Linked DNA regions of Nothobranchius furzeri. The protein of the gene in region 1 interacts with the protein of each later gene in a biochemical or structural test. Links are inferred from orthologs where the notes say so. Each region holds a gene or a part of one and is shown on either strand. Other genes may lie near its edges. The genes, in order: ubiquitin-conjugating enzyme E2 E1, rnf167, ubr5, ipo11, rnf4, trim32 and ubr7.

Region 1 (4,906 bases):
CACTTTAACCTCTCGAAACTGTGAATAATAAAACACTTTCAAGATGATGATGATGCTATTTTCATAATTAAATCTCGTGACGAAGTTCTCAGATCAGTCATCAGACGTGGTCAGTCTAAGTGGTTATTTTCTGTGGCTGATCTAGTGACGGCTCAAGTTGTTACACATTTCTGATCATCATCAAAACGTTTCACTTTCCTTTTTATCCTTCAATGTTTAGATTTTCAGATCAGATATGAATCATTTTTTAGAAGTTGAACTACTTTTTTTTATCTTTTGATTTATTTGCTGTCACCTTTAACAAGTGCACTGCAGTGCGTGACTTTTAGGCCACCTGTGCTGTCTGGGTGTCATCGGAGCACTGCTGTACAGCTCCTCTGGGAGACTAATCTTGTTTAAATTAAATGTACTTGATGTGAAGCTTTGACACACGCCGCGGACGGCCCAGTTTCCCCAGCAGGACCGGAGCTGTTCAGCCTCCCGCAGCCGCGGAAGGCTACTTCCGTTCCGCAGAGGACGACAGGCAGCAGGCAGCCTGACGGTGGCGGAGGTCCAGACACAAAGAGTGGGTAAGTTTCACGAGCGAGATGAATGGTTCCGTTCAAGCGTTTAGTTCGGCATTGTGAAAATCTGCGCTGATTCCCAACATGTTTGCGTTCCCAGCTGATGTTGATGCGCGGCGACAGAAACGAGAAAAAGAAAAACAAAACGCTCGAGGTCGAGTCAGCAGCAGCACGGGGGGAAGGGCTGCGTCTATGTGCTGGAGCGGTCCTCTTTTTCTCATTCTTGCTTCAAACCTTTAATTGTTACATTTATATGTGTCTTAATGCCAAAGGCAGCGGTTCACAACGAGAGCTGACAACACAGCCGTCGTCTAATTTCACGTTATTATTGTTTTATCCACAAAGACTTGAGGCCCGAGTCTTCGTTACCAGTTAAGTTTTTTATGAAGCGGGGAGGACTAATGCTGGATTACTGATAGTGCTCACGAAGAAAGGTGATTTGAAGAAACATATGGCGTGTATATACCATCAGACACGTTTTAATTTATAGCTTACGATACAAAATTACCATATTTAATGTTAACCACGAGCTAGCTAAGGCTAAAGACTGTTAACCGTAGCGGAAAGCGTTACCTAACGAAAAAAAAAACAGAAGGCGAATCGCTGTGAAATCTCGCGAGAATCCTATCTCATGTCTGCAACATGAGATCAAAACAAACAAGCTAGCTAACTGATGTGTAATGTTTTGTGTTTGCACCATGGTTTGCACATGATCACATCCTGGATTTAATTTATTCTTTCGGATGTAAATGTTTTCAATATCTTAATTTTTTCTAATTTTATTCAGACTTATATATATATATATATATATATATATATATATATATATATATATATATATATATATATATATATATATATATATATATATATATATATATTGCTGCTAGGCTATATCAAGGAAAGGTGGTGCATAAATGTTTAGAAAATTAACATTTTCAAATAAATAATTTCCACAAAAACCTTTTAAAAAATAAGACTGTTTTCCCCATTATTAAGCACTTGGTTTGTTCATTTTTATTCCAGCTTGTTTTGTTAATCCTGATAAAAACCAGATGTTTTGTTTTTGTCAACACTACACATTTGAAAATGTGTTCAGAAACATAAACCTCCCAAAAGGAAAATACTATTACCTACCTTTATTCACAAGTGCTCCACATTTTTGGGTTACTTTCACTTTTCAGATTTCCTCCCATTTCTCCTCAGGTTGCGGCTCTTCTCCAATCCTAACCGGTATGTCGGATGAGGATTCCCGTGCCAGCACCAGCTCATCCTCATCACCACCTTCCTCCAGCCAAAACAGACACAAGGATACAGCTTTCAAGAAGAAACGGGAGAACAAAACCAGCATGAGCAAGACCTCCAAGCTGCTTTCCACCAGCGCCAAAAGGTTAAAAGAAATCTGTCATACAGCAATGGGCAGATTATTGTTGCTCATTAGATTCATGTCTGTTTAAAACCCCTTAAGACAACAATGTTGTTTACATATAAATATGTAACTTTTAGTAGCTGCTGATGGCAGGATAAGCTCAGAAACATGAGTAAACGACAGTAGAATTTGTTTTCATGACTTCCCCTTGTGTATTTATTTAACAGTGAAAAAAACACATTGATGGTCAAAGAGGAACTAGTTTAATTTGTGCTTAGGCGGTTGCTTCTATAAGCCAGAGTAGTGTTGTAAACCATGTTTTTAAGGAAGTACCAGTTTCTTCTTCAGTAAAAAAAAAAAAAAAAAAAATCTTCACAGTTTCAGTCTCATTCAACATTCTTTTCTACAAAAACAGTCAAACAGCATTAAGGTGTGTAAGTTAGTTTTCTGATGCCATGTTAACTAGATCATATTTATTTTTAATCACTTTGTTTGATTCTGAGTAATTCCACCTCTGATCCTTCCATCAGTAATTGATTTTTGTAACATTTGCAGAATTCAAAAAGAGCTGGCTGAAATTACCCTGGACCCTCCGCCAAACTGCAGGTGAGTTTACGGTTTTATGGTTCTTTATGTACTCACCAGCACGACAGATCAGAGTTTTGTCCTGATATTGGCTGATCCAAACTTCCTAAATGTTGAAACAGGTAAAATCATTATTATAGGTCAGTTCACAGTTCCAATACCCACACTGCACCCTGTGTCTTCTGTGAAGTGCGCTTAGAGGAAGTGTGCAGTAAGGCTCTGTGTGCTGAATTGGGACAGTGGCCGTTGCATCATCGACCACTGTGCATGCAGGGATGCCGGTTGCTGTTTGTGCTACTTTTTAAAAAAGCTTTATTAACAATTTTTAAACAGTTGACACAATTTACATTCATTGCTGTTCACATTAAATTTTAATCTTAAACATTCAGTAATGATATTTATTCATATAAATATCATTAGTCGTCTTAAAATGAACTTCTTTTGTTTGAAAATACATATTTTCAAATAAGGCACTTGAGCCATTGTTCAGTCTTTTCAAAATGCCTTCACAGCAATGGGTTGTGGGTAATACCCTTTGCCCAAGTCCGCATCAAGTGTGCAAAAGGGGTGTGGTCAATTTCCGCACTTGAGGATTGGTACACCTTGTGCCCCTGGACAGGAATGCGCAATTGAAGGGCACAAGGGTGGAAGTGTGAGTATTGGTATTGAGCCTAACACAACAACACTGGTTGACTCCTGGTTTCACAAGAACATGTGTCTAGAATGAGGAGGCGGGGCCAAGCTGGTGAGGCTGTGTTGGGATATTCCACGTCCTACTGATTGTCCCTCACAGGGGCCAGTATTACCGTGTTTTCACTACAGGAGTTCAGGGACACTTCTGGGAGAGGGAAAATTCTATAGCTCTGTCCTATCAGCTGTTTCTCCAACCAATCAGCAGAACGTAACAACAAGTCCCGTCCAGCGGCACTACCGGGCCTTTTCCTCGTACTTGCTCCAATTCAGGTTCTAGGTTGGTTCCTGAAAAGCTCTCAAAAGTGGCCCTATTGAGTCGGCCTGGTGAACGTAACGAAGGTCCAGCAAAATGACCCAGATGTTCCAAAAAAATGAAATGGGCCTTCTGTGTTGCTTTTTCCTGAGTACCGTGGGAGAGTTGAATCCAGTGAAGAACTGAATTCCAACAGCAGAATAAAGCAGGTTTAGATGGCACCACCTACAGTAAAGGTAACTAATCAGGCTTCCCACTGTTATCAGATCTATTACCATGAAGCTTCGTTGCAATAAACAAAATTATGTGTTGTCTCAGTTTGAGTTACAAATAGTTTCTTTTTCCTGAATGGAAATGTCAAATACCAAAACATTCAGTTTAAATAAGCAGCTGTTCTTCCAAGAGGAACTAAAATATTAAAACAAATGCGTTTTCATCTGAAGATCTGTATTTACAGCTGTAACTGAAAGTTGAACTTATTTAAAAAAAAAAGCTTCCTTCCTGGTACTGAAACCAAATTTATACTTCTCCGTCAGCTCCACCAGGGAGAGAGACGCACGAATGGAGACGTTTTGCCCCCATACTTCTCCGTCTCCTGGGGAGTGTTACAAAGCAATTCCCCACCAGGACAATAGAGGGCGTAGCACTGTTCCGTGTTATCCGGTCCAAGATGGTGTTTATATTGTGTTTTTTGCATTTAAGAATGGCCAAAACACACACACAAATGCCCTGGGGCCTCATTTATCAAGCTTGCTTACGCACAAAACTGGGTTGGAAAACTGTGTAAGCAACTTTCAATGCAAACTTTGGGATTTATGAAAGAGAACGTAGCGGGAAAATGTGCGCAACTTTAAGTTGACTAAGGACCTGGCTTACGCACATTTTGGACATGGAGAGCACCTGCAGTGCTGCTGCTGAGAAGGGTTAAAATTATGAAATCCTGCAGCATTATCACTTGTACCGCTTCATTTTCACACAGAACAAGAACCCCCCCCCCCCCCCCACACACACACACACACACAGAGAGCCTGAAGCGCAGAATACGGAATGCAGAATATCATCGGGGGACAGATTGAGACAGAATGTCATGCGTAGGGCTGGGAAAAACGATTATTTTTGTAATCGATTAATCTAGCGATTATTTTTTCGATGCATCGATTTAATCTAATGATTAATTTGTTAATTTGATTAGATTAAATTATTGATTATTTCCCAATTATTTGACTTGTATAGCAGTTTCATTATTACTAATTTATGTATCTCAATGAAATAAATGCAAATTTCTTCATTTGAACACACAAATTCAAAAATAAAGTTGTTGTAATAGTAGTACAATCTTATGTTAGAGATAACATTTAACAAAAACTTAAATGTTGTGCAAACTATTCATATAAATCAAGGAAAATTTATAACAAAAAATATATAAATAGCAGCAATGGTGTT
Region 2 (3,094 bases), on another chromosome or scaffold:
GCTGCTGTTTTCACACTAAGAAAGCAAATCATTATATTTATTTGTGATGTGAAGTACACTAGCATAATTTATTAGGTATTACACCTAATAACCTGTTTAGTTTAAAATATGTCAGAAAGGGTCCTAACCCAGGCCAGAGTATGTTAATTTAATAGTGAAGGATTTGTAGCTTTTATGGCTGTTGTGAAGATAATTTCTCTAAATGACTTCTCCTGGATTTGCTTTAAGTAGAAGTGGTCTGCTTCGAGGTCCAACTCAGGACTTCCGTTAGCTTGCAGAGCTAAACAGCCACATACGTTTATTCTGGGGAGTGTTGTGTCTGTGGTTCTAAATGATTCCCTTTATGTCTTTGTGAAAAGGATCTTCATATTAACTGCAATCATCGTTTTTATGCTAAAATCTGGACAAAGTGACTGTGGATTAATTATATTTACATATTTGATGGACAAACATCCTTAGAGATCCAGAATGGGAATCGGTCACATTAATTCAAAACTCAGTCATTAAAATCCTGATTTTTCCACTCTGGAAGTTTAAATAGATTATTTACAACTAGAGTTGCAGGGATTGACCGGTTTGACTATTAACCCCGTACCGTAAAGACGTCTCCAACGCCTCCCGTAAAAAACAAAAAGACAATAGCGCAACCTTCACTGACTAAGGCTAAAGTGAAGCTGAACGCAGCAGAAGCAGGTCCAGTGACAACACCCATCGGGACCGTGGAAGTGGTTGAAGTCTTCTGTGTGGGAATATTTGATATATTAGATACATGCCCTCTCCGAATTTTTTAAAAACATCTTGAAACCATCACTGCAGCCCAAAAGTCACTTGTTATGTGTGTGCAGCAGCCTGCTTGGTCGTGTTCATTTGCTGCTTTTCTGTAGGGTTGTGTCTGCGGTGTGATTCCTGAACATTTTCCTGTATTGTAGGAGACGACTATGATGTTTGTGCCATCTGTCTGGACGAGTATGAAGAAGGAGACAAACTGAGAGTTTTACCCTGCTCACACGGTAAAGATTTCTCATTTGTCATCGGCGTGTTTGTGTAAAACCTAAATATGATTATGTATTCAGAAAAGTACACCAAGTACTACTAGATTATAACGGACTTTCTAGGTGTTTTCCTTTGAGGTGACAGCACACGTTTCAGTCATCTACTCTCAGTGACGTGTTTGTTTCTTCATCTTTGTTGTAGTTGATAAAGCTTCTTATGCGTTTTGACCTTTTTCTGAGTTTTGTGAAATCCGTCTGGTTTCTCAGCGTACCACAGCAAGTGTGTGGACCCGTGGCTCACCCAGAACAAGAAGACATGTCCTGTGTGCAAACAGCGAGTGATCCAGAATAACCCGGAGCACTCAGAGTCAGATTCTGAGGAGGAAGGGGCAGGACGCAGAGATGAGGAAGGAACTGATGGCGAAGCTGACTCAGAGCGCACTCCTTTGCTCCGGCCCTCCAACCCCGGGTCCCCTTCAGGGAGCCCAGTGGCCTATTCAGCCACCACCACCGCCGCCCAGTGTCTGGTGTCTCCTGCTCGCAGCTCACCCATCCTGGGCTACCAGGGCTACTACTCTCCTCAGGAGGACACAGACTCAGAAAGTGGCGACGCAGGAGATGACCGGCACCACAGTGATGATGACACGGTTCATCTCATTGGTAGGAACCGAGTCGATGCCTGAACTTAGCTGTAGTGAAGTTAGCCTGTTGTTCACTTTAAAGGAAACGAGAGAGGGTTTTCCTGCCTACAAATGTGCTGTAAAGTTATTTACTTTCAACAATCAGCTAGACCTTTAGACTTCCACAGCGGCTGATTGTTTTTTTTTTTTTTATCCAATAACCAGACACCAGAGGTCTACGTTGTAGTGTCAAAGCGGGAGTCGGTGTAATTTGTTTGATCAAAGTCCAAAAGAATCACTCCCCTTCATAATCGCTCTTGTGCTCATATCTGTAGATGCTTTTGTTGCATGCTCTAAATTGTGACCCAACATGACCCGACCACTAGTGCTGCACAACTTTAGGAACCAGTAAGGTTTATTTTATTAGGTAAGAGCGTAACTCTAGATGAGGTCTCTACACGGAAGGCTCTGATTGTTTCAGTTATATTTTTATTCCAGTTTTAAGTAAACTAACAGGATGTACACGCGGGTAGGGGGGATCTTAGTCTTTGCTTTTGTTTTGTGCTTTTTTCCACAGAGTATTTCTGAGATTTTACTGCTGCTTTTACGTTGTTGCTGAAATCGGTGAAGGTAGGATTTTAGCTTGATGTAGTTTGTAAGTTTGAATAAACTCAGGTTTAGGTCAGAAGGTCAGTTTGAAATGGTAAGTGAAGAACCAAGTAAGGAAATTATTAGCTTTGATCCTTTAAATTGTTTTAGTTTCTCTTGGGAACCTCTGTGTTTTTAGGACAAGGTGCATTGCCTTACACTGACCTGAAACTTCGCATTTAATGTTTTAATCTGAAGACAAGAAAGGCACTCCTTCCTTTTATTTTATGTCTCGTTCTCCATGCCTGAGAGTTAGCTCGTTTCCATGGGTCTGGTGGTAGTAACGGGATTGTGATTTGGACATTAACAAGCTCAGCACCAGAGTAACTGATGATTTGGGCGTCGTCTGTAAATTGAAATGATCATTTTTGTGAAAAGCAGCAAACGTTGTAAGCCTTTAAAATGATTTTGCTGCTCAAAAGTTATGAATGTTTTATGGATTAATTAATTTTGTCTTCAGACGCCCACGCAGAGGTTGTTTTAGATTAATCCAGTCTGGCGAACTCTGAGGTAACATTTTTACTTTCCCTCTTTTTTAAAGAGATCCAGTGCAATTTATTTCTCTCCCATTTGATAAAATAGGTCAATAAAACATATCAGAATGGAGACAAATCTCACAAAGCACCGCTACTTTATAAAAGAGACAACACTGAGCAGGATTTACACAAAGTTTGTGTTAGGGGATTAATTCACTGTTAGAATGCAAAAAAACTCAATTCCTTTATGTTTGACCTCAGATTGACCCCATACTTGGTTGATTGTGACCTGTTGGCAATATACTGTATTATACAACACAACAGCTGTTTTTATATGAACACACCTTAATTATTTTGT
Region 3 (4,698 bases), about 13 Mb from region 1:
GGCTTCAACACCCGCCCAAAGAGCTTCACAACACAATCAGTCATTCACCCTGGCGCGCGTGCACGCACGCACACACACACACACACACACACACACTAGTGGGGAGGAGCTACCTCGTAGTCAAAGCTGCCCTGGGGTACTGACACAGGCGGGCCTGCCCTACACAAGCACTACCAATCCCTCCGACCACCACTAGCAGGCAATGTGGGTTAAGTGTATTGCCAAAGGACAGAACAGCAGTATTTTCTGCGGTGAGACAGGATTGATCCTACAACCCTCCTATTGCTGGATAACCCAATCTACCTCCTCCTTGTCTTTATGTCTAGTAATTATTTTATCTTATTTTTGTCTTGTATTTTTTTTATCTTACCTGTTTTTCTTTTATGTAAAGCTAACTATGTGTTTGTTGCTGCTGCCTCTTGGCCAGATCATCGTTGTAAATGAGAATGAGTTCTCAATCGACACATCTGGATAAATAAATGTAAAATTTATTTATTATTTATTTATTAATGATTGTTAACCAGCTCAGTGGCCTAGTGGTAGATTGTACACCCTGAGACTGGGATATCAGGGTTCGATTCCTGGTCGGGTCATACCAAAGACTTAGAAAAAATGGGACCCAATGCCTCCCTGCTTGACACTCAGCATTAAGGGGTTGGATTGGGGGGTTAAACCACCAAATGGTTCCCGAGCGCGGCTGTGTCTGCAGCTCACCGCTCCCCCAGGGGATGGGTCAAATGCGGAGAACAAATTTCGCACACACACCTGTGTGTGTGACAACTAATGGGACTTTAAAATAAACCTCCTGAGCTGCTGCTGCATAACATTCTTACAAAGACTACACATTTCACTGTACTTGCTAGACTTGCTGTCTAGTTGCTTTTTCCGTATAAGCTGTTAATACTTTCAGCAGTTAAAAAAGGCAGAACTGTTGGACAAATTTCTGCATAACTTGCAAATGCAAATTATTCAAATTGTGCATAAATGCTGAGAGTTGTAGACACACACACACACACACACACACACACACACACACACACACACACACACACACATATATATATATATATGACATGTTATATATATATATATATATATATATATATATATATATATATATATATATATATATATATATATATATATATATATACCGGTATATATAGCAAGGTGATACTCTATAATAATAGAGTATTACAGCTATGGGTCACAATGTAATGAGAATAGAAATGCAAATCACACCATTATGTTGCCTCCTATAATATGCTTTTACTGGCACATTTACTTCAGGTACAGTCGGACTTCTGAACACTGGAGCTGAAATTCAGGAGCCTGACAGAAACCCTGGAAATTAACCACAAACTTGTCAGATTTTTGTTCAAACTAAACCAATCTTCCTTTTGACTTCAGGGTCTGGAGAGATTTTCACCCCACAGTGTGGAAATAAAAAGGCCAACTAGGCAATTATTGGTCCTGTAAAAACTGTCACCGCGATAAAAATATGTAAAACCAGAAGAAACAAAACGAACATATTTAGCAGCACTGTAGTGATGTAGTTGTCCTCCCGTTGGTTTTGTCTCTGTTCTTGAAGCCAGTTTGATGACGTTTCCTGTTTGTGTTGGAGCGGCCGAGTGCTCTTATCAACACTCACAAGAGGTTCGGTAGAGTTAAGATGGCGGCATGTGGGTGAGGAGCCAGGGATTCAAACTCTAGGTCTTTTTTGCAATTAAACGATTCCTATGAAATCACATCCGTGCGGTAGTCGACGGATTAAGTATTTCTATACCTTTCACGAGTCTGTGTGTGATTTTGGATTGGGCCCATGACATCTATCCACTTCGTTGTTCACCCGTTGCCCGGGACCGAAGACCAGCTCAATGACAGGTATTTCGTTGCAGTAAAATAGTAAATAAAATGATTGTTAATGCAGTAGTTTGGTTAAAGTTTATTCTAGGTTGTAACTGTTGATACTGTCATGTGTTTTCTTCTGTTTTTTAAACGGTAAAAACGAGCCCTCCAGGGATGATTTAAGGCCCGGCATTTTGAGCAGACCTTCGGTAGCATGCTAATGCTAACGCGTTAAATGTCTATGTAACGTTAGCAGGACGGTTCCGTTCTCTTCTGGACGGACTGGCTCATAGTCAAAGTTGAGATAGACAATGCGGGTTGGGGGATGGGGAAAGAGGGGTGGAAATATAAGGCTTTTAACCCAACCAAACTGTTAAACCACTCACGTTTGTGTATAAATGACATATACGCCACCGCGGCGAGGGTTTTCGTGTGTTATTTTTGCGTTTTGTTGGCTAATGTTATCAATGAAGGAGCTAAAGCTAGCTAACTGTCAGCTAGCTCACAATGCTAGTTAGGTTAGGTTACCACGCGCTTGACAAAGACATATTCTGAGCTTTTTGCTGTAATGATTCCATTAATCTTGAAGTTTAAGTATACATTTATCCCCAAACTTCATTGCTAAGGCGACCTAATATGTCGCTGCCAACGCTGGGCACTGGGATGCATCTAGCAGCCTTACATTCATTTTAATCTTGTTATCGACTTTAATTAGGCTAGCAAGCCAAGGCGTATAAAGTATCAATAAAGTACACGAAATTCTTTAGTTAGCACCTAATCACCCAATATTGTTCCACTCAAATACTGGTTTCCCTTAAACGGATAACCCAGATATAATATCGTGTAGTTAGCCAGTCAATGCAGATTGGCTAATTTACTCAAAAAAGGTTTCATTTATAAAGTGAAGAGATAGTTAATTAGTAGTATTTAGAAAAAATACATTAGAACTTGTATGCAACCCACGTTTTTCTGCAACACGTGATCTATAATAAATCTATTTATACTGTCCACTGAGATTGAACTGATTAATGAGCTGTTCCACTTAGAGACAAAGAGGTGAGAAGTCAGTGTTTTACGGAATGACCTTGAGCTTAAAGACAGGATAGGGGCTAAGTGTTGGATAGCTTTTACAGGCTCTGAGGAGGACCACCTTTGCTCTGGTGGACAGGGAGGCTCAGTTTACGCTATTATTTTGAAGGAATCTTGCATGAAAATGCCACAGGAGCATCCTGGTGCTATTGGATCCTTGGAGGGGGTCATGGCTCTTCATCTCCAGGCTTTTATTCTTTTGTAATCTACAGTCACAGTGTGCTTCTTGGAGCATCTTCTAATTTGGTTTTGCCTTTCTGTAGTGTTTGCTCTAGTCCGTGGGCTTTAATGTGCACCCTATTGAGCCTAAAATTATGTTTATGTATTTAGCAAATAGTTTTGTCCAAAGCAACTTACAAGTGATAATGAGGCCAGCAGCTTAATTTGTTATTATTTCACTCAGGGGTAGACTGCTTTACTTAACATTAAGATTTAAATTGACTCCAGAGAAATACACAAGTTCAAAGGTAAAAATGTTTACCCCTGATATTCCAGCAAGAATCTGAGCGATAGTAAACTGAGTTGCATTGAAATGGCCCAATCTGCTTTATTGTGGAACTGATTAAAATATTTCTTGTCTCATAGTTTTTGTTCATTAAATTAAAAGATGAAGTTGTCTTTGTGAAGTTTCTATTGGACAGTTCTGTAAGTGGTTACTTTTAACACATTGTCAATAAAATATAAAGGTATTCAATAAAATGTGATACTCAATAAAATATGGATTTATCGATATTATCGAACCTTTAATATTTTATTGATATAAGTATATACTTTGGGTATGCCAGGGAAACAACACTTTATAATAATCTGACACAGAGGCAAAACTATAGTTTATAAAAACCAATAGTACTATATTTCTACTGCTAATGATGATTCATGATGAATTATTATAAATGAAGATTTAAGGCAATATCAACTGAGACAATGAATAAACTGAAGAAATACGAGCTTAGATGTTAAGAGCCTAATAAAGTGTCTTAGATGTGATTTCTGGATTGATAAAGTAAATCTGGCTGAATGTTTAATGAAGTTTAACAAGTTATCAAATTAATAATAAACCATCCAACTCCAGTGTGAAGAAGCGAAGTCATCTCGGCAAGGCAAAGCGAATGGTTGGCCTTCTGATGTATTTAAGGGTTGTAGGACCCCTCAGAAATCACACCACTGGTCGAAGCGATAACTTCCCTGGGTGACTTCTGGTGGTTCTAATGGAGTTTTGCAGGTTCAACAAATAATTGGTTGGTTCTGAAAAACGATGGCTCTAATGCTGCTAAAATTATTCCACTGAAAGATATGGTTTGACTTCACAAAGAATGGTAATTTAGCACAAGCTGGAGCTTTGGCTGGAACTGCCGAATATAGGAAGTGTTTGTCTTTTAAGGGTTTATTGTTTATGCGTTTTGGACCAACCAGATGCCAGAGAGTGTAGGGTTAGTAGGGCTGTAGCGAAGCTTCGATGACGTCGACGGCTCGATTCTAAAAATTCGTCGACGTCAGATCCGGTAGTCGACGCACCGCGCCCACTTGTTGCATCCCCAGGAGTTTGTAAATAGAGGTGGAATCTGCCTGTTTTTCCTCTAGTTCGCCCTCTTCTCCGCCTTCACTAACATCTCAGCCAAATACCGAAGACCCGGAACAAAGTCCATCCGCTACTAGGTTCCTTTCCTGTTTTGCCCGCCTTCGTTTCCCGGCAACGGACAACAACTTCCGGGGTCAAATGCGCTGCTCCGTCTCTATAGCAGATGTAGAAAATCACCGGGA
Region 4 (4,148 bases), on another chromosome or scaffold:
GTGGCTTTCTGTTAAGGGCCATTCAGTCCCTTTACCAGAGGAGCGTGAGTTTGGTACGCATAGCCGGTAGTAAGTCGGACCTGTTCCCAGTGAGGGTTGGACTCCGCCAGGGCTGCCCTTTGTCACCGTTTCTGTTCATCACTTTTATGGACAGAATTTCTAGACGCAGCCGTGGTGTGGAGTGTGTCGAGTTTGGTGGCAGGAGAATCTCGTCTCTGCTTTTTGCGGATGATGTGGTCCTCCTAGCTTCATCCAGCTCTGACCTTCAGCTCTTGCTGGGTAGGTTCGCGGCCGAATGTGAAGCGGCTGGGATGAGGATCAGCACCTCCAAATCTGAGACCATGGTTCTCGACCGGAAAAGGGTGGCTTGCCACCTCCGGGTCGGGGGAGAGGTCCTACCTCAAGTGGAGGAGTTTAAGTATCTCGGGGTCTTGTTCACGAGTGAGGGTAGGAGGGATCGGGAGATCGACAGGCGGATTGGTTCGGCGTCTGCAGTGATGCGGACGCTGAGCCGATCTGTCGTGGGGAAGAGGGAGCTGAGCCAGAAAGCCAGGCTCTCGATTTACCGGTCGATCTACGTCCCAATCCTCACCTATGGTCATGAGCTTTGGGTAATGACCGAAAGAACGAGATCGCGGATACAAGCGGCCGAAATGAGTTTCCTCCGTAGGGTGGCCGGGCTCAGCCTTAGAGATAGGGTGAGGAGCTCGGACATTCGGGAGGGACTCGGAGTAGAACCGCTGCTCCTCCGGATCGAAAGGAGCCAGTTGAGGTGGTTTGGGCATCTGGTCAGGATGCCTCCTGGACGCCTCCCTGGGGAGGTGTTTCGGGCATGTCCTGCCGGCAGAAGGCCCCCGGGTCGACCCAGGACACGTTGGAGAAGTTACATCTCCAATCTGGTCCGGGAACGCCTTGGGGTCCTGCCGGAGGAGCTGGTGGACAAGGCCGGGGAGAGGACGGCCTGGAGCTCCCTAGTTGGGATGCTGCCCCCGCGACCCGGACCCGGATAAGCGGAGGAAGACGAGACGAGACGAGACGAGGCTATGGAATCCTACGTCTTATGGCTTATTAAATAACATGTAATTTAAATCATTACATTCCTAAAGGATCATGCTAGAGGAGGTATCGCAGATTTATTTGACTCTGACGATCGTGACTCACAAGTAGGACTGAGTAGAAGCCAGGCTGGGTCTCCCACTGCCTGAGCTGCTCCTCTGCAGGCTTCAGCACAGCCGTGTCCTGACTGGTAGCTTGGGTCAGGGTCTGCAGCACCACAGAGCTGGCACTGTCCATATCCATATCTGGATATATCTACAGAGAAAAGGAAGAGAGAGAACAAGAATCAGGGAAAATTCTACTTATTTAAGGAAACTTCAGGTATGCTTGGAAGGAAAATAAAAAAGATCGTCAGTTCACGGCGAAACCTAAATAATTAAGCATCACAAGAAAGTCGAGGGAGTCGGTTTATATCCTCAGAAACCATCCTGAGAGGAGTGGACTTAAAAAAAGCCCATTTTTCTATTTAATTGTTATTTTGTTTTCTGCCAGTTGCATCATAGTTGAGGGCTCATGTCACATCCGTGTTTATTAAGATTTGTTGTTGGGAATCATCTGTTTTCCATCGTCCAGTGAAACCTCCCACCTAAAGATCCATCCATCCATTTTCTGAAACCGCTTTGTCCACGCAGGGTCGGGGCTGGTGCCTATCTCCAGCGGTCAACGGGCAATCAGGCGGTGTACACCCTGGACAGAGAGCCAGTCCATCGCAGGGCAACACAGACACACAGGACAAACAATCATGCGCACACACACTCACCTAAGGACAATTTAGACAGACCAATCAACGTAACAGTCATGTTTTTGGACTGTGGGAGGAAGCCGGAGTACCCGGAGAGAACCCACGCATGCACAGGGAGAACATGCAAACTCCATGCAGAAAGATCCCAGGCCGGGAAACGAACCCAGGACCTTCTTGCTGCAAGGCAACAGCTCTAACCACTGCACCACTGCGCAGCCATCCTCAGAAACATTGGCTTTTACTTTATCTAACTATTATTTCAACACTGTTTTGTTATAGCTCAAGCGATGCTGAAACTAATGCCAAACACAAGATGAAACATGCTCTTATAAAATAAAAAATAAATCACACTTAATAGAAAAAACTGGAGTCATCTCAAACCTGCAAATAGCTCTTTCATGCTCCAGATGTTGTTCAACCACCCAAGTTTCACACAATCAAATGTGTATTTGTCATTCTAAATGGCAACTCAACTAATTTACCCATAAAAGACATTTCCAGGAGTGAAAATATGGTGTAAACCATTCTTTAACAGCTCACACTCACATTTAAGTAAAAGGATAAACGAACTTAGAGGAAATCCCTTCGGCTTTACTGAATTTACAAGTTTATAGAGTAATATCTAAAAATACCTGTTTCTTATAGGTTCACTGGATTTAAAATATCCTGCCTTAATCACTTTGAGTAAACAAACTCATAAAATGAGCAACTGAATGGTAGAACGATGGAAGTGACTCAAATGGAGAAGAAAGAAAACATGAAACAATGCTGCCATCTACAGCTCAGACACAAATATTCAGCACTACAGGAAACCAGAGTTCTCCTGGAACTGCATTCATTTTCAACATCACAATTATTTGGCAACGATGTGGCTCCAGCTGCCGCCTGATGAGTGAAGATCATGAATAACTTAGCCAAATAACTTCTTGTTGCCGCTATCTATTCTAAATGAGTGACCAGAAGAGTTTAAACCAACAATGATTCGATTGAAATGCAGCTTCAACCTGTAACACAATGTCAATTGTGTTACAGGTTGAAGCTGCATTTTTATCATTTTTATCATGGCTTTTTATCATTTTGATAGGATCAGCAAGCTTTTTCGTGTCATCCCTTCCAGACGTGACATACTTTGATATAAGATTAGAATCTTTTAACTGTCAACACGTTTTCCACGTCCCTCTGACTCGAGCTGGAATGCAGCAGATACTTAACTCATTCACTGCCATTGACGACTAAAGTCGTCATTTTAGATGCAACCGTTCACTGCCAATGACGACTACAGTCATTGGCATTTTTTTACTGTTTGAGCATCGGAACGAACCCCCGCGCTGAGAGAACAAACATCTCAGCCCTGAAGCCGATCTTCATCCGCACATGTCACATGATCAGGAAGCAGACCATCCAGGGTCTGAAATTAACACTCGCCACTCGCCAAATGCGAGCAAATTGCTCCATTTGGCGAGCAAATTTTTTAGCTCTATCTGCCACATGGCAAGTAAATGTTTGCACCAAATAAGTTATGTTTATCAGTCATCTTCCATGGATTTCTGATACTCCTCCCGCCTGCAAGCAACGTACACAAACGTACGCGAAACGTGAACGCCGCATCCAACGTCATTTCCACCTATCCCATTCGGTTTATCAAGTTAGCGGTTAGCTTCGTGTTAAAACTAGCGGTGAAATGTGGTGGTTTTTAACTGGAGTCAGCCAGCCTTCCAAAAGAAAACTCGTTGAACTGGAAGAATAACCACCAGGACCAGTGGCAACCAGAAGATGTTGTGAAAGTGGCGAACCGGAGATGGCGGAGTCGTGAGACAATACATTATGATGGCCACGTAGCGTTGCTGCCTTTCACAGACAACTGGCCCTCGGCATTCTTCAAATATCCAAAATATGCCCGTACTTCCCACTTTGTCTTCTTTGAGGGATAATAAATGTCCTGAGTGCTGTCGTCTCCTCCTGCCATTATTTCAGCTTTAGCTTAAAGAAAGTTTTGGTCGTAAACAACAAAGTGCGCATGTGCCGCCGGCAACTTCCAGATGATATGGTGGCTGGTAAGGGTCACCGCGCCTACACCGCAGCCACGGTAATCCACCGAGATAATATATGTTTTAAAAAACAAGACGGTTATTATTATTGTCAACTTTTTTACCGGGGTTTACCACTACACCGGTTACCGTGACAACCCTAGCCCTGACACACTTTCAGATATTCTCATGGTGCAGCTGTGTTCTCCAGGGATCAAGGACTATGACCCAAATGAGGCTGTAATGCTTTGGCACAAAGACGGTGTCAGAAGCAGGAGGCCATACTTCATGGACAGAGAAAACAAGGAGTCTGACTAGATTTC
Region 5 (4,774 bases), on another chromosome or scaffold:
TACCTCAACTTAGAGCTAAATTACAGGTAAACACACACACACACACACACACACACACACACACACACACACACACACACACACACACACACACACACACACACACACACACACACACACACACACACACACACACACACACACACACACACACACACACACACACACTTACTCACTTACTTACTTACTTACTTATATGTGATGATTTCAAAGCTTTGACTTTTAACAGGCAGTTTTAAGATCAGTTCCTTCTTTTTGTCCATGACATGTGACATGCATGTTTTGGGTGAAAGCTGGGTGGACCAAATCCACCTGAGAGGATTTAGCTTTTTAATAAATTCAGTTTAAAATCAAAAGTGAATGATTCTGTTCTTACAGACCTTTATTTGACAACTTGTCTTTTCAGTGCTGCGTTCAGGAATCTGGCTCGGTGAGGCGCTCATGAAGGCGCGGCCCTAAAGCAGACCCTGCCAGGTCACGCTGGAATTTTCCAGCCCCCGATCAGGTTTTCCCACAATGCACTGGGTCACCATACAGTACTGCAGCTCCCACAATGCTTCTGGCAGTTGTTGACAGATAGGTGGATAGATATGTAGCTTTCCTTTTGTCACATGTTTCCAATCTCATAGATCTTTACTTAAAACATGAAACTGATTTTGTTTATTTCATGTTTATGTAAACATTCGTGCATCTGCCTCAGCATCTTTGACCTGGCTCTGGCACCACTGGACCTGTTTGCTTCAGCTCATCTTTTGTTGAATGTTTTTGCTTCATTTGTGACAGCAGGAAGCTGTGAAAGTTTGCGTGGCTGATGTCATTGATGCATTTGTTGATTTGACTTCAAATAAAATCTGAATGTTGAAACTTTTATGTTGACCTGTTTGAGCCATCTGTTCCTTGGTCAATACAAGATGTTTGTTTTACTCTGACAAATCCTCCTTCTGGTTAAGAACCATATTGTCAATGCCTTCTGATACAAAATTAAATCATAAATGATTTTAATCATCTCAGAATAAATTTTTTGATCACACCAAAATGTTTCAGTGGTCTGATCAGAGTTTTTCTGGACAAGCTCTTCAAATAAAACTTGTTGAAAGTTTAAAAAAAAATGCATATGTTCAAATGCGTTTTGACTATGGTTGTAAACAGTGATGGTTTAGATCTGGACCCCATGTGGTTCAGATGTAAATTCAAGGTGGTTTGTGAGGAAAATATAATCAGTATTTTCTGCTGTTGAGTTTACCATTTTAGGTTCAAAATAGATCTGGTGAGTATTTCTAATAATTTTAAATATTTTTGTATGATGGAGAACTTTGACGCAAATCACACTTCATTTTAAAAATATTATATGCAAAATTTACTGATATTATTTTTACTTTATTGATAACATTATTTTTGTAACAGAACCTTAGTCAGAGTGATTGTAAGTTTAGTCCTGGAATAGTTCTATCATGTTGGAGGCTTGATTTTGGCATCAATAAAATCAGTTTCAAACTGAACCATTAAATTTGTGTACTGCATTGATTATTCAAGAAAATGGAATTGGAGATAAATATATTACTATCAAATAATATGATTTTCTTAAATTTGTTTTAACACATTTTTAACGTCGCAGTTCCATCTGAACTTTGCAGGGGGCGCTAGTGAGCTCACCGTTAGAGTACAACTTCCGGTTGTAACCGCAGAAGGCGCAGAAAGTAAAAGCTAACATTACAATCGTTCGTTTCGGTGTTCTGGGGCAGAAGTAGATTTTCTTGGACCGCGAATTCTCCGTTTGAGGTGAGACGTGTCACGTTCGAGCCGAACACATGAAAACACCTGGTGGTGAGTGAGAGAAGCTAACTGCTAACCAGTTGTGAGAGAAGCTAACTGCTAACCAGTTGTCTCTGGTCGTGATGGTAAAACGAAACTCCATCCGTTTAGATTTTGGACCGAAGCCACCTGTTTTTGTTATTTTAGTGACACATTGACTTCCTTGAAGAACACTTTGAAATTAATTGCGCTTAAATGAATACGCCTGTAAACAAATACCATCCTCAGTACTGTAGATTTAGATGGAAGTACTGTAGATTTAGATGGAAGGTATCAGGTGTGAGGAGTTTCTACTAAGGTGTAAAGATACTAGTGAGACCAGCCATGTCTGCTTTAGAGACAGCGTCCACAAGGTAAAGACAGGAAGTAGAGTTAGAGGTTGCGCAGCTTAAGAAGAAAGGGGCAGCTTATTGTGGTGACAGAGGTGGTATGGGTGTGCTGGTACTAAACAGAATGTTAAGTTAAAAGATTAAAACAATGCCATCTTGGGAATTTCACCCAAGGAAAATAAAATGGTACCTTTAGGCGCACATAGGTTCAATGCTCTCACAAAGGCGACAGAAACGAGGTGTACGCAAAGTCCACAATTTTATTTCGTGTTTTGTTAAAAGGACAGCAGTTTAAACTACTAATTTAAAAATAGAAAGGGAGAATTAAAACAAGGAAAGAAAATAATTAGTGTTACCAGGCTGGAGCTTACCAAGGTAAGGTGGACCCACTGGAGGTTCTAGCAACAACACAAACTAAATACCAATAGTCACCCAAAGCACCAGTGAACAGTCACACAGATGTGAAGGGGGGCCCACACCAACTCGCACACGGAAGAACCACCGCCACCACCCTTGGCTCCAGCCTGGACAAATAAAAGTTAAAAACCACAATAAAATAAACTCTGTTGAAATACAATAGTGCTCCAAAATCCTCATGCGTCAGAGGTGAGAAAAGGTCTCCCTTTCCACTCCAACCAACATGCTGGGCGGGAGAACGTCTGGCGGAGGAGCACCAGCACTGGTTAAAATCCTCGGTTATGCTCTGAGTTTACATGCAGCCAATATCCGGGTTATGATCGGGTTAAGGTCGGTATTCGGGTTTCTGAGTTGATCAGAATAACCCGTTTACAAGCATAATAAATAGAAAGAGTTACCCCTAACTTGCATAACCCGATTTAAATGCGGACGTTGGGGTAGCGTCAGGACGTATGGACTACGTCAAGACGCAATATGCGTCATATTTCGCTGTCTCTGTACTTTCGGCTGTCAACAAAAGACATAATGTTCATACTTTTCACCAGACCGATGAAGACAGGTTTCCTCGTCACTCCAAAAGTGTGGTGCTGTGCCGCGACTCGCCATGTTGCTCCCATCTTGTTTACTTCCAGTGTTCTGGCGCATACAAGACGTCTCGCTTCTCAAAAGACCAAGATCCCTTGCGAACAGAGCATGCGCAGAACACACGCTTTGAAGGGGATATCCCGATATGTGTTTACACGACCAAACATTCGGGTTAGAAAAGGGTTACCCCAGGTGTAGTAACCGGGTTTTTAAAAACCCGGTTATGAGCATATCCGGGCTTTTGGCGGTGTTTACATGGCCGTGCGGAACCGGGTTATTGTGAATATTCGGGTTTTAAAAGGGTTACTGGCTGCATGTAAACGTACAGTGAGCGGTGGCCCAAACTGCTCCCGATAGGTCGGTCCGCTCTGTCGAACCGCTCCTCGGTTGTTGAGGGAGAGAGGGGAGGGGGGTCACAGCAGTGACTCAAAACACTTTGTCGTAGCATCACAACACCTCGGGTCCTAAACAAAAAAGGTAATAAACCTTATTAACCCAGAAAAGAATATTCATACTGAGCGTGCAGGGAGGGGGCGCACCGCACATACATACCACGCCGACAGCAGTAGATCACCTAGAAGGCAAGCACGCTTCTTTTCCAACAGCATGCGGTAACGTTACATTATGTTAGATGTTTTGGAGTCAGAGAGGACAGACTGAGTTGGTTTGGATATGTCCAGATGAGAGACAATGATTACATAGGTAGGAAGATGATGAGGTTAGAGTTAGGGGTAGACCGATATTGCTCATGTAACGGGTATTACAATTAAATAATATGAAATAGGTATTGAACTATTGTCTTGACAACTCTGGACCAGTATCAAAAGTTCTAGGTAAGATTATGGAGCCTTGAAAGGATCAGCAGAGAAGGAACCACACAATGACAGATAAGATATGATTTAAATAGAAACTGTATTGAAAAGGTGTAAAGTTTACAAACCCTGCCTGTCTAAGCCGGCTTCCTACAGTGCACAAACGCACATTAAAGGACTCAAAATAAAACCAAAACCCTCTTTGAGGAAATTCTCCAAAGAGTTTCAATTAAAGAGCTTCCACTCCTGTTGCTCAGTCCACTTCTCTTTGGAAAGAGAAATTAGTTTGTGTGTGTGCGTTTCTGTCCAGTGGATCTAACACTACCCGGGTAGATTTTTTAAAAGTGTCAGTCTTATCTGTGTCAAGGGATGTAGTGATAGTCCTGGGGTTCGCTGAAGATGGATCCCACGGCTGGCCACACCGTACTCTGGTCCGTCTACAGTCACTCTCTTGGAACTGGCTCGCCACTGAACCCACAAGGTTCAGATCTCAAATGATCCGGTCCTGGTCAAAAAACCAATCGGAGCTCGTGGTGAGATAGCTCGCCTGGCTGACGCAGCTTCCCACGCCCATATTTCACAGAATTCAGATCCAGGATCTTTCAGTTAATCTGGCGGTTGCCTCGTGAGTAACGGCTTTCACAACAGGAAGTGCTGACTAACAGGAAGTCATCTCAAGGCATACTCGCCTCCTAGTGGCGGAGAGGGAAATTACACCTCCAACCTTATGCCGCAGCACAAACCACAATTCTGATGTGGGTTACACTCTCCCCTCCTGAACTCTTGCACGTCCCTGTGCATGACAAGGTTCACACAAAT
Region 6 (3,051 bases), on another chromosome or scaffold:
GGAAACCGTGAGAATTGTTTTAAGAAATGAAAGCTTCCGTTTTTGTAATGAATGCAGTTTTTTTTTCTGAAAAGCTGAACTAAAACTAAAATGGAATTTTTAAAGAAACGCATTGCTTTTAGTGACCAAAAAACCCTTAAAAATGTTAAAGAAAATAAATAAAATATAACTGTACCAACGAGGAAACAACATGACCCAAATGTAAAATCAAACCCCCAAACAGCTATCACCATGGCTCCATATTTATCACACAGCCCTTCAGGTTATGATTTTACAGTTCAGCACTCGTCTAGAAGGTACTTCCTATTCTGCACGTTCTCTGAATGTTGCCAAATGCAAATGATTGATAATTCATTAGACTTCTGTCATTAAAGACTAACAAAGTAAATGTTTAAAGCTGCCAGCTTCATTATCATTAGTGTGCTACTGAAACCCGTTGATAGGACACAGTGGTGTCGAGAATAAAGTGCTTCACAGGCCAAAAGCCTTAGTGTGCTTTATTTCATATGTAAGTATATTATCAGCCACTGTTTCTTCAGGTTTACTTACTTCACACACATTCAGGCGAAAAGATGAATAAAACAGCCAATAAAAAGGACCTGGTGTCATATTGGTGTTTTCTCCCGTTTTTAAGTTGGAATACGAGTTTACAAATGTGGTGTAACAATGAAAGCCAGGGAGGCAATTGTTTGGATTTAATCTACACTAAAGCTTCCTTTCTCAAAGGTCAATTCTGACCAAACCTACTGAACTTGTTCAGTTCATCTTTTAAGTGGAAGAATGCCTCTTTTGAATGTATGTATAGACTTTAACACAGTGGTCCCAGCAATCTAGTACTAACAGCTGCCCTTTCTGGGTAGTGGCAACCCCCACAGGGCAGTTCAGCCCTTCTCGGATCAGAATATTAAATCCACCTTCTTTGGGAAACTGCAGGATTTCTTTTCTACCACTGTCTGTAACCAGCAAGTCCCCGTTGGCATCCACACACATGCCAGTGATACAGCGGAAGTCCTCGGTCTCTGAGAAGAAATGGCTGAGTTGTTTGCCAAGCTGGCCATTGGTGCCCACTGAACTGATGGAGAAGCCACCCTCCAGGTGGGGTTCATTCTGCCGCTTCTCAAAGTTCAGGGCCAAGCCCTGGGTGAAATATACCGTTCCTGCTGTGTCACACGTCACAAACTTTGGCCGCACAGCAGAGCACAATCGGTTGTAGCTGACTACGCCTACGTTGCGGTCCACAGCGAGGCACCACAGCTTGCCCCCTTCCACATCTGACACCACAAACTGACCTGACGGCATGGCAGTAATCCCCCATGGTTTGATCAGTTGGTTTTTGTGGCTAGCTACATAGTGGCCATCCATTGTGTAGACTTTTACAGAGTTATCATAGTTGTCAGTGACACCAATCAGGCCTTGTGGTGTCACAGCAATTGATAAGGGGTTTAGATTTGGCAGGTCAGCCCCAAAGAAGCTCAGGACAAAGTTGTCAATGCTGGCATTACGTCGGATTTCACGTGGGATACCTTTGCGATTAAAAATCTGGACACGGCAATTTCCACGATCAGCCACTAGTACATCACCTTGTGGCGTCACACAGATGCTCACTGGTAAATTAAACATCCCAGGTAGAGCTCCCTTACAGCCCATCTTCTTTACAAATTGGCACACTGGTGGTCCTGAACTTGCTCCAGCAGTTGATCCTCCTCCTTCATCCATGGACTTGGACTTAAAGCTGCCTGGTGAACCACATACCGTCTCCTCTACTGCAGAGACCATGTCGACATCCCTGTAAAGATCCACCGGAACCTTTACAGCACCTCCTGTGGCACCTCCTGGCCCAGATACACTCTCAAATACAGTCTCTGCACCTCCATTGTCTTCCTCTGTATTAATGACGCAAGTGTTTGTGGTTAAATGCCCCACTTCTAGAGGTTTTGATTGCTCTATTCTCACCAGCGCCGGCTCTTGAAGCTGAAACTGTGTGGATAAACTGCCCCTCAGGTCTAGCTCTTCATCGTCACTTCCTGCACCATCATCTTTGAGCAGGGCGACATCACTCTGCCTTACTTGCACAGTCAGATAATCACAGCGTGACACCACTTTTACTTCTGCGAGGTTGAGAAGATACGTTTGTTCCTCCAGGACCTGCGCATTGAGTTTTTCCACTTCTCCCAACGAGGCTGTGAACAGCCTCCGAGATCTGCTGAGCTCCCCTTGAAGATGTTGCTCAGCCGCGTTGTACTCCAGCTGAACTGCCCGATATTTTTGTCTCAAGGTCTTAGAAATATTTTCAATCGCCGTCTTCTTCTTTTGAATTTCACCCATGACATCCCGGAGAGCAGCCAGCTTCCCGCCCAGTTCTTTACGACGCTGCTCAGCAGCCACCTTAATTGGCTGAACTGAATGACCTTCATGCAGGTGGCCCTCACCTTTACACACTTCACAGAGAACGGTAGAACAGTCGTGGCAGTACTGTCTTGGTAGACGGTTGCAGCAGGACTTGCACATTAGTGCAGCAGCAGCAGCACTGCAGGACAAAGTGCAATCTATAATTTTTAGCACAGTTAGATTATCTGCCAGCTGAGAGATGCTGCTCATCCGTGAGACTTTGCTGCAGAAGGGGCAGCGAACGCCATTAATAGTATTAGCCAAGAGTTTCTCGAGACATAGTCGACACACTGTGTGGCCGCACTGCAAAAGTTTAGGTCTCAGGTGGTCCTGATTGTAGGTCTCCAGGCAGATGGGGCATTCAAGAACCTCCCTCATTAGATCTGGGTCCAGTTGGGAGCACGACGCTGCCATTATGGCCTTTTCCTTGAGTGGAGAGAATGGAAAGAAAACAGGAGGGGAGATGTAAATGCAAATGTAAAATAGTTCACAACTAACAAATGCAGGAAACAATGCAAGAATAATCATTGTGTTTCATTTATAGAGCCCTGTAAAATAGAAACAAGTCTGTCTTAGACTTAGATGAAAATGTAGACCTTTTACATTTTCATTGTGGAATTATTAAAAATTTAAAGCACTGAGAAAAACTGAATCTGGAAGGAA
Region 7 (4,878 bases), on another chromosome or scaffold:
GGAACCATTTGGTGGTTCAGCCCCAAACCAAACCCGTTACTGCTGAGTGTGGAGCAGGGAGGCATATGACCCCATCAGCCTCAGGGCGGACACTACCACAGGCCACTGAGCGTGTCAGGTTACTGAGTGCAGAAAACCGTGTAAATACCTGTGGAGCCGTGTTGATGCATGCGCTGTGTGAGCGGCTACTTTATTTGTAACGTTTTTTCTCTACTAGGTCAGCCACAGCGCTGTGCACGCATAAAAGAATTTAAAACAACACCGACCCAAGCAAGGGCCCACAAAATATACATTAAGACCAATAAAGACAGAAGATAAAAGCATGTTGATAAATAAACCAAACAGGATGAAATGAAACTATAATTTCTAAAAATATGATGCTGAGGGAACGCTACAGAAGTGTCTTCACCCGGATCTTAAAAACAGTGAGGGTCTGACCTCGATTGGTTCTGGTGCTCTAGGGTCTCAGCACGGCTTCAACAGGGCGACACCCTCGTGAGGGTCGAGCAAATTAACCCATGTGGTATTTGCGCGATTGCTGATTGGGAGCTGGTCGTGAGGTGTTAGTTGCTCATCGTTACGTCCTGTACACGACGCAAAACTCAGTCCAGCTTCGGATTCTCACACCAGAAGAAAATCAGCTTGAGATGAGTCACAAGTTGCGCAGTTTTTAGAGATAGGGTGAGAAGCTCTGTCATCCGGGAGGGGCTTGGAGTAGAGCTGCATCAAGAGGAGCCAGTTGAGGCGGCTTGGGCATCTGGTCAGGATGCCTCCTGGATGCCTCCCTGGTGAGGTTTTCGCCCCCGCGACCCGATTGCGGATAAGCGGAAGAGAATGGATAGATGGCTTGTATTTGCATAGCACCTTCTAGGCTTCTAAACCCCCCAAGGCACTTTACAACACACAAATCAATCCCACAGCCCTCCAGTTAAGAGACAGGGCACTGTCGTAAATGAGGCCCCTGGACCTACCCTGCCGTGAAGCCAGTCCTCACACACCACACACTGAATCATCTCGTCTTCCTCCTGAACCCAAAAACACCAAATCAGTCAGACAGCCTCAGGTAACAGCTGGTAGACAGGTGAGCTCCAGCTGTCTCACTTACCTGGTCGTCAGGATCAGGATACGGCCGGCTGCACGTGCAATACATACCAAAGAAGTTGTGATTGTATTTATTCTGACTGTTGGCATCGTCTTTGTCCTGACACACACACACACACACACACACACACACACACACACACACACACACACACACACACACACACACACACACACACACACACACACACACACACACACACACAGTGTTAGTGTGTGGCAGCTTAAGCAGTGATAACAGATCATCACAGGTGTTCTCAGGTGAACTCACTGGATAAAGTTTGCACTGCAGCTCAGAGAACTTCCTGTTTCCGCAGTCACAGCGGAAGTTCCTGGAGAAACCACAGAGGAAGACAGAGGTTCTAGATCAGTTTAGTGATCTTGTTAGAATTTCCTGTATGACGTTAGACTTGTGAGGTAAAGCTAGACATGAATCTGTAGACGTCCCATTGGGCACTGGAGAGCATTAACAGTGTCGTCGCCATATTGGATGGGTTCCTCACTCTCCAAACCCAATAGGAGTCGATGCAGCGCGAGCGGCCATGCCAGGTTTGTGTTGCAACAACTGGCGCACTATTTAAAACAGATAACGCGGGATTACTGACTTTTCTAGCCTACCTGATGTGATGTTATATGTTTATTATTTAATTATATTATATTTTTATTATCATGCCATACCATGTGTTGGACTGTTAAAAAACATGACAAACTGTTTTTAGTTGGGGAAACACCTTCCTCAGTGGTAATAAATGCACTGGGAGCAAATGGAGACCCACCCAAGGTGGCGGCCAGCCAGTCCGCGGGGCGTCTACGTATATGATGTCAGTACAAACTGATCTGTTGATTTGTCGGCATGTGGAGATTACAGAGTGCATCGATCACCTCTTGGTGTAAAGTTCAAAGAGGTCGTGACCTTCATGGCATTTGTATGAACAGGCCAGACAGATTCCTGCAGCCTCGCCTCCCTTTGGCGTGCAGGTGTTACAGGCGTACAGTGCCTGTCGCTTCACGTAGCCCTGGAACGAACGAACACACACACACACACACACACACACACACACACACACACACACACACACACACCAGCTGTGGTTATGATGTAGCTCGTCACCATCAGTGCGTGACTGGTTAGTTAGTCGTGATTAGCTACAGAAGCAGGTAAAAAACCAGAAACGCGGTGATGAGCTGGCACCACCTCCTGGTCATACATATCTACTACAGGTCATCAATCTGCACCAGGTGAGACCTCACCTGCTCCCTGACCTCTTTACCAACACACACACAGACACACTGACTGGATCAGAAGCCCTTACTGTAAGGATATCTGTGGAATCTGGGAATACCTGAGGATATGAGCAGTGATCGGAGTCACTTCCGGCCAGCACAGCTGAAGCCTCTTCCTCCAATTCTTCATCTTCCTCCAGAACGTCCACTAGAGACACCGTCTGCTCCTCACTCATCCTGGTCTTCTCTCTGATGGACAAACAGCATGTATCACTGATGGGTTCTGGTCCAAACGGTGGTCGCTCATTGACCTTTAACCTGTCTTTGAAGGAGTTGATGGTCTTCTCAGAGACCTGTCGAGGTGTTCAGCTTCACCCACCTCCACCAGAGCCCAGGGTGGAGCAGGTTAACCCTAACCAGCCCAGCACTGTGGCTAACATGTTAACTTTGTTTTATAAACGGAACAGCAGGCATTTGATTATTACCTGTCGGGACAGGTGAGTTTAATGGCAACAGAATCTAACTGTTACCATGACAACCCAGAGTTAACTATTCCTGACGTAATCAAATGGTTCCATTACATAAAATGATCAATATTTAGTTAGCATAATTTAGCATTCTCGTGCTAATCCTGTTAGCTTGTAGCATAAACCAAACTCACCGAACAACAGGGGTAAATCGACACTTTTGACGCTGTTTCTGTCGTTCACAAAGCAACCAGCTGATTGATTATCACCAGTAACTGCGTCCGAAAATCTATCTTTGTCGCTATAGGCGCGATCTACACTAACTACCCACAACTTCCGGTCCTGGGGTCAGAGGTCACCGCCTCTAAAACAGATCTAACGGAGATCAAATCGATCAGACTGATCCACCGGAATCATAAACCTGCGCGCTGCAGAAACATTTATTAAGCCCAACCAAAAAATGGCTCAAATAAAACAACTAATCACGTGACCGAACGCGCCAACTCCATGGTGTGTTCACTACCAGAAACAAAATCCGTCCTTCGAAATATTTTACTGAAAGCGTTTCACTTTGGTGCTAAAGATTAACTTCAGATTTAACAGCAGTATCATTTGTGTATGTGTGTGGCAATTAGTGATTAAGATCAAATAGTCAAAAGCATTAATCTACTTATTAACTCCTCGTGTGTACGTAAAGTATATACGATCAGCTGACGGAAACGCAGCGCTCCTGAAGGCAGCTCCGTGTGATACGTGATGACGACACCGGAATGGCGGCTGTGTGTGTGCAAGCAGAGCTGAGGCTCAGGGATGGACAGAACCGAACCGTCGGCGTAGTGGTCGGAAACGGACTCAGTGCTCTGAGAAGTGGGATTTCCGAACTGAACGCGAAAGTGTCGCAAATTCTTACCGAGCTGGTGGACCGCGAGAGGCCGCGAGGAGGCTGCACGCGAGGTGAGCTTTTCCTTGAGTCTCGCGATAATTTATTCCGTGTGAGTAACTTTGGCCTCGGTCTTTTTTTTATTTTTATTTTTTTTATCATTAAATGCTTTTTACAATTTCTCGTGAGACACTTTGGCCTCGGTGTAGATCGGTCTAGATGAGCAGCAGCTGCAGGACCGAGCGCAGTTTCAGGCACACTGTGGAGTTTTAGGTTTGTATTGTGTTTGAGACAGCGCCCTCTAAAGGATGAGTTTTTAATTGCAACTGTAGATTCAAAACATTCCTTTAAATCACGTTACATGTGTAAAATTTAATTAGAAGTAAAAACAATCAGAATTTTATTAAAGCGACATAAACTTATTTAATTGCCGGTGAAGCTTTACATCAAACTATTAAATAATTGGTCAGTCTTGTTCCATCTAATTATTTCCAGTTAGCTGGTAGGCTGCTGTCTGTGTGTGTGGTCTGCAGACAAAAGAAAGCACAAAGTTGAAACTCTTTGCTTTAATATGTTTAGTTATCACCGTTTGAACTGTAATGTTTTGCAGCAGACACAATTTAGTTCATTTTCACAATAATAACCTTACTTACAATTTTAACAGAGCTCCTTTCTTTAATCTTTACATTTGTGTAATAAAAAACATTAGCCTAAAGTAACGGTTTTATTTCTTTCTGAAAATAAGAACAATTTCATACTTTTATGCTAAAGTTGGCTTATATCCTTTTCTTTCACATCATCCACAGCTAATTTAATATTTTCTTTAATTTGCCAAAGTGTGAATGATATCAGTTCAGTCGCCTGACCAGCCAGCTTTATGCTTCCTTCTGGGAAGCAATGGTTTAGGTCTCAGACCAGCCCAGTCATCTCCACTAAGCTGAGTTAGCTCCTAGCATAGCCGCAGGGTTTCCCTTACATAGGCGTAGCCGTGGCGGCCCGCCTATGTATGGCTGAAATCCCACCGCCACGCCTACAAGATCCCAAGTTATTTTATTTTATGCGCTGTTTCCCGAAGAAGCAGCGGGAACTACTATGTTGTCGCTTGTGATCACAGCAGGCAGGCAGCAAGGAGGAGCAGGCAGGGCAGGGTGAAGTTACAGCATAAGTTACTTTTATTGAACATGTTTAAAAACGTGTTCTATTTGT

What was found.
Region 2: the proteins of ubiquitin-conjugating enzyme E2 E1 (region 1) and rnf167 form a complex in vitro, tested with the Homo sapiens proteins (3 studies listed by BioGRID). The link is inferred for Nothobranchius furzeri from reciprocal best matches to the Homo sapiens genes UBE2E1 and RNF167.
Region 3: the proteins of ubiquitin-conjugating enzyme E2 E1 (region 1) and ubr5 form a complex in vitro, tested with the Homo sapiens proteins (2 studies listed by BioGRID). The link is inferred for Nothobranchius furzeri from reciprocal best matches to the Homo sapiens genes UBE2E1 and UBR5.
Region 4: the proteins of ubiquitin-conjugating enzyme E2 E1 (region 1) and ipo11 form a complex in vitro, tested with the Homo sapiens proteins (2 studies listed by BioGRID). The link is inferred for Nothobranchius furzeri from reciprocal best matches to the Homo sapiens genes UBE2E1 and IPO11.
Region 5: the proteins of ubiquitin-conjugating enzyme E2 E1 (region 1) and rnf4 form a complex in vitro, tested with the Homo sapiens proteins (2 studies listed by BioGRID, with this or other methods). The link is inferred for Nothobranchius furzeri from reciprocal best matches to the Homo sapiens genes UBE2E1 and RNF4.
Region 6: the proteins of ubiquitin-conjugating enzyme E2 E1 (region 1) and trim32 form a complex in vitro, tested with the Homo sapiens proteins (2 studies listed by BioGRID). The link is inferred for Nothobranchius furzeri from reciprocal best matches to the Homo sapiens genes UBE2E1 and TRIM32.
Region 7: the proteins of ubiquitin-conjugating enzyme E2 E1 (region 1) and ubr7 form a complex in vitro, tested with the Homo sapiens proteins (2 studies listed by BioGRID). The link is inferred for Nothobranchius furzeri from reciprocal best matches to the Homo sapiens genes UBE2E1 and UBR7.

The regions. Positions count from the first base shown.
Region 1 is NC_091745.1:63,675,069-63,679,974, forward strand, and holds the start of ubiquitin-conjugating enzyme E2 E1, read left to right. Parts: upstream 1-1,798; coding exon 1,799-1,953; intron 1,954-2,487; coding exon 2,488-2,538; intron 2,539-4,906. UniProt on the Homo sapiens protein: Accepts ubiquitin from the E1 complex and catalyzes its covalent attachment to other proteins. Catalyzes the covalent attachment of ISG15 to other proteins. Mediates the selective degradation of short-lived and abnormal proteins.
Region 2 is NC_091750.1:48,167,136-48,170,229, reverse strand, and holds the end of rnf167 (E3 ubiquitin-protein ligase RNF167), read left to right. Parts: intron 1-929; coding exon 930-1,010; intron 1,011-1,259; coding exon 1,260-1,675; 3' UTR 1,676-2,428; downstream 2,429-3,094.
Region 3 is NC_091745.1:50,648,764-50,653,461, reverse strand, and holds the start of ubr5 (E3 ubiquitin-protein ligase UBR5), read left to right. Parts: upstream 1-1,665; 5' UTR 1,666-1,822; coding exon 1,823-1,884; intron 1,885-4,698. UniProt on the Homo sapiens protein: E3 ubiquitin-protein ligase involved in different protein quality control pathways in the cytoplasm and nucleus. Mainly acts as a ubiquitin chain elongator that extends pre-ubiquitinated substrates.
Region 4 is NC_091757.1:51,403,362-51,407,509, reverse strand, and holds part of ipo11 (importin-11), read right to left. Parts: intron 1,312-4,148; 5' UTR 1,300-1,311; coding exon 1,162-1,299; intron 1-1,161. UniProt on the Homo sapiens protein: Functions in nuclear protein import as nuclear transport receptor. Serves as receptor for nuclear localization signals (NLS) in cargo substrates.
Region 5 is NC_091741.1:64,324,957-64,329,730, forward strand, and holds the start of rnf4 (E3 ubiquitin-protein ligase RNF4), read left to right. Parts: upstream 1-1,633; 5' UTR 1,634-1,779; exon of another isoform or gene 1,780-1,824; intron 1,825-4,774. UniProt on the Homo sapiens protein: E3 ubiquitin-protein ligase which binds polysumoylated chains covalently attached to proteins and mediates 'Lys-6'-, 'Lys-11'-, 'Lys-48'- and 'Lys-63'-linked polyubiquitination of those substrates and their subsequent targeting to the proteasome for degradation.
Region 6 is NC_091746.1:55,656,127-55,659,177, reverse strand, and holds part of trim32 (E3 ubiquitin-protein ligase TRIM32), read right to left. Parts: intron 2,815-3,051; 5' UTR 2,803-2,814; coding exon 769-2,802; 3' UTR 1-768. UniProt on the Homo sapiens protein: E3 ubiquitin ligase that plays a role in various biological processes including neural stem cell differentiation, innate immunity, inflammatory resonse and autophagy.
Region 7 is NC_091742.1:16,675,734-16,680,611, forward strand, and holds the start of ubr7 (putative E3 ubiquitin-protein ligase UBR7), read right to left. Parts: upstream 3,184-4,878; 5' UTR 2,987-3,183; intron 2,784-2,986; exon of another isoform or gene 2,644-2,783; intron 2,575-2,643; 5' UTR 2,562-2,574; coding exon 2,445-2,561; intron 2,118-2,444; coding exon 1,984-2,117; intron 1,434-1,983; coding exon 1,373-1,433; intron 1,202-1,372; coding exon 1,106-1,201; intron 1,026-1,105; coding exon 972-1,025; intron 1-971. UniProt on the Homo sapiens protein: E3 ubiquitin-protein ligase which is a component of the N-end rule pathway. Recognizes and binds to proteins bearing specific N-terminal residues that are destabilizing according to the N-end rule, leading to their ubiquitination and subsequent degradation.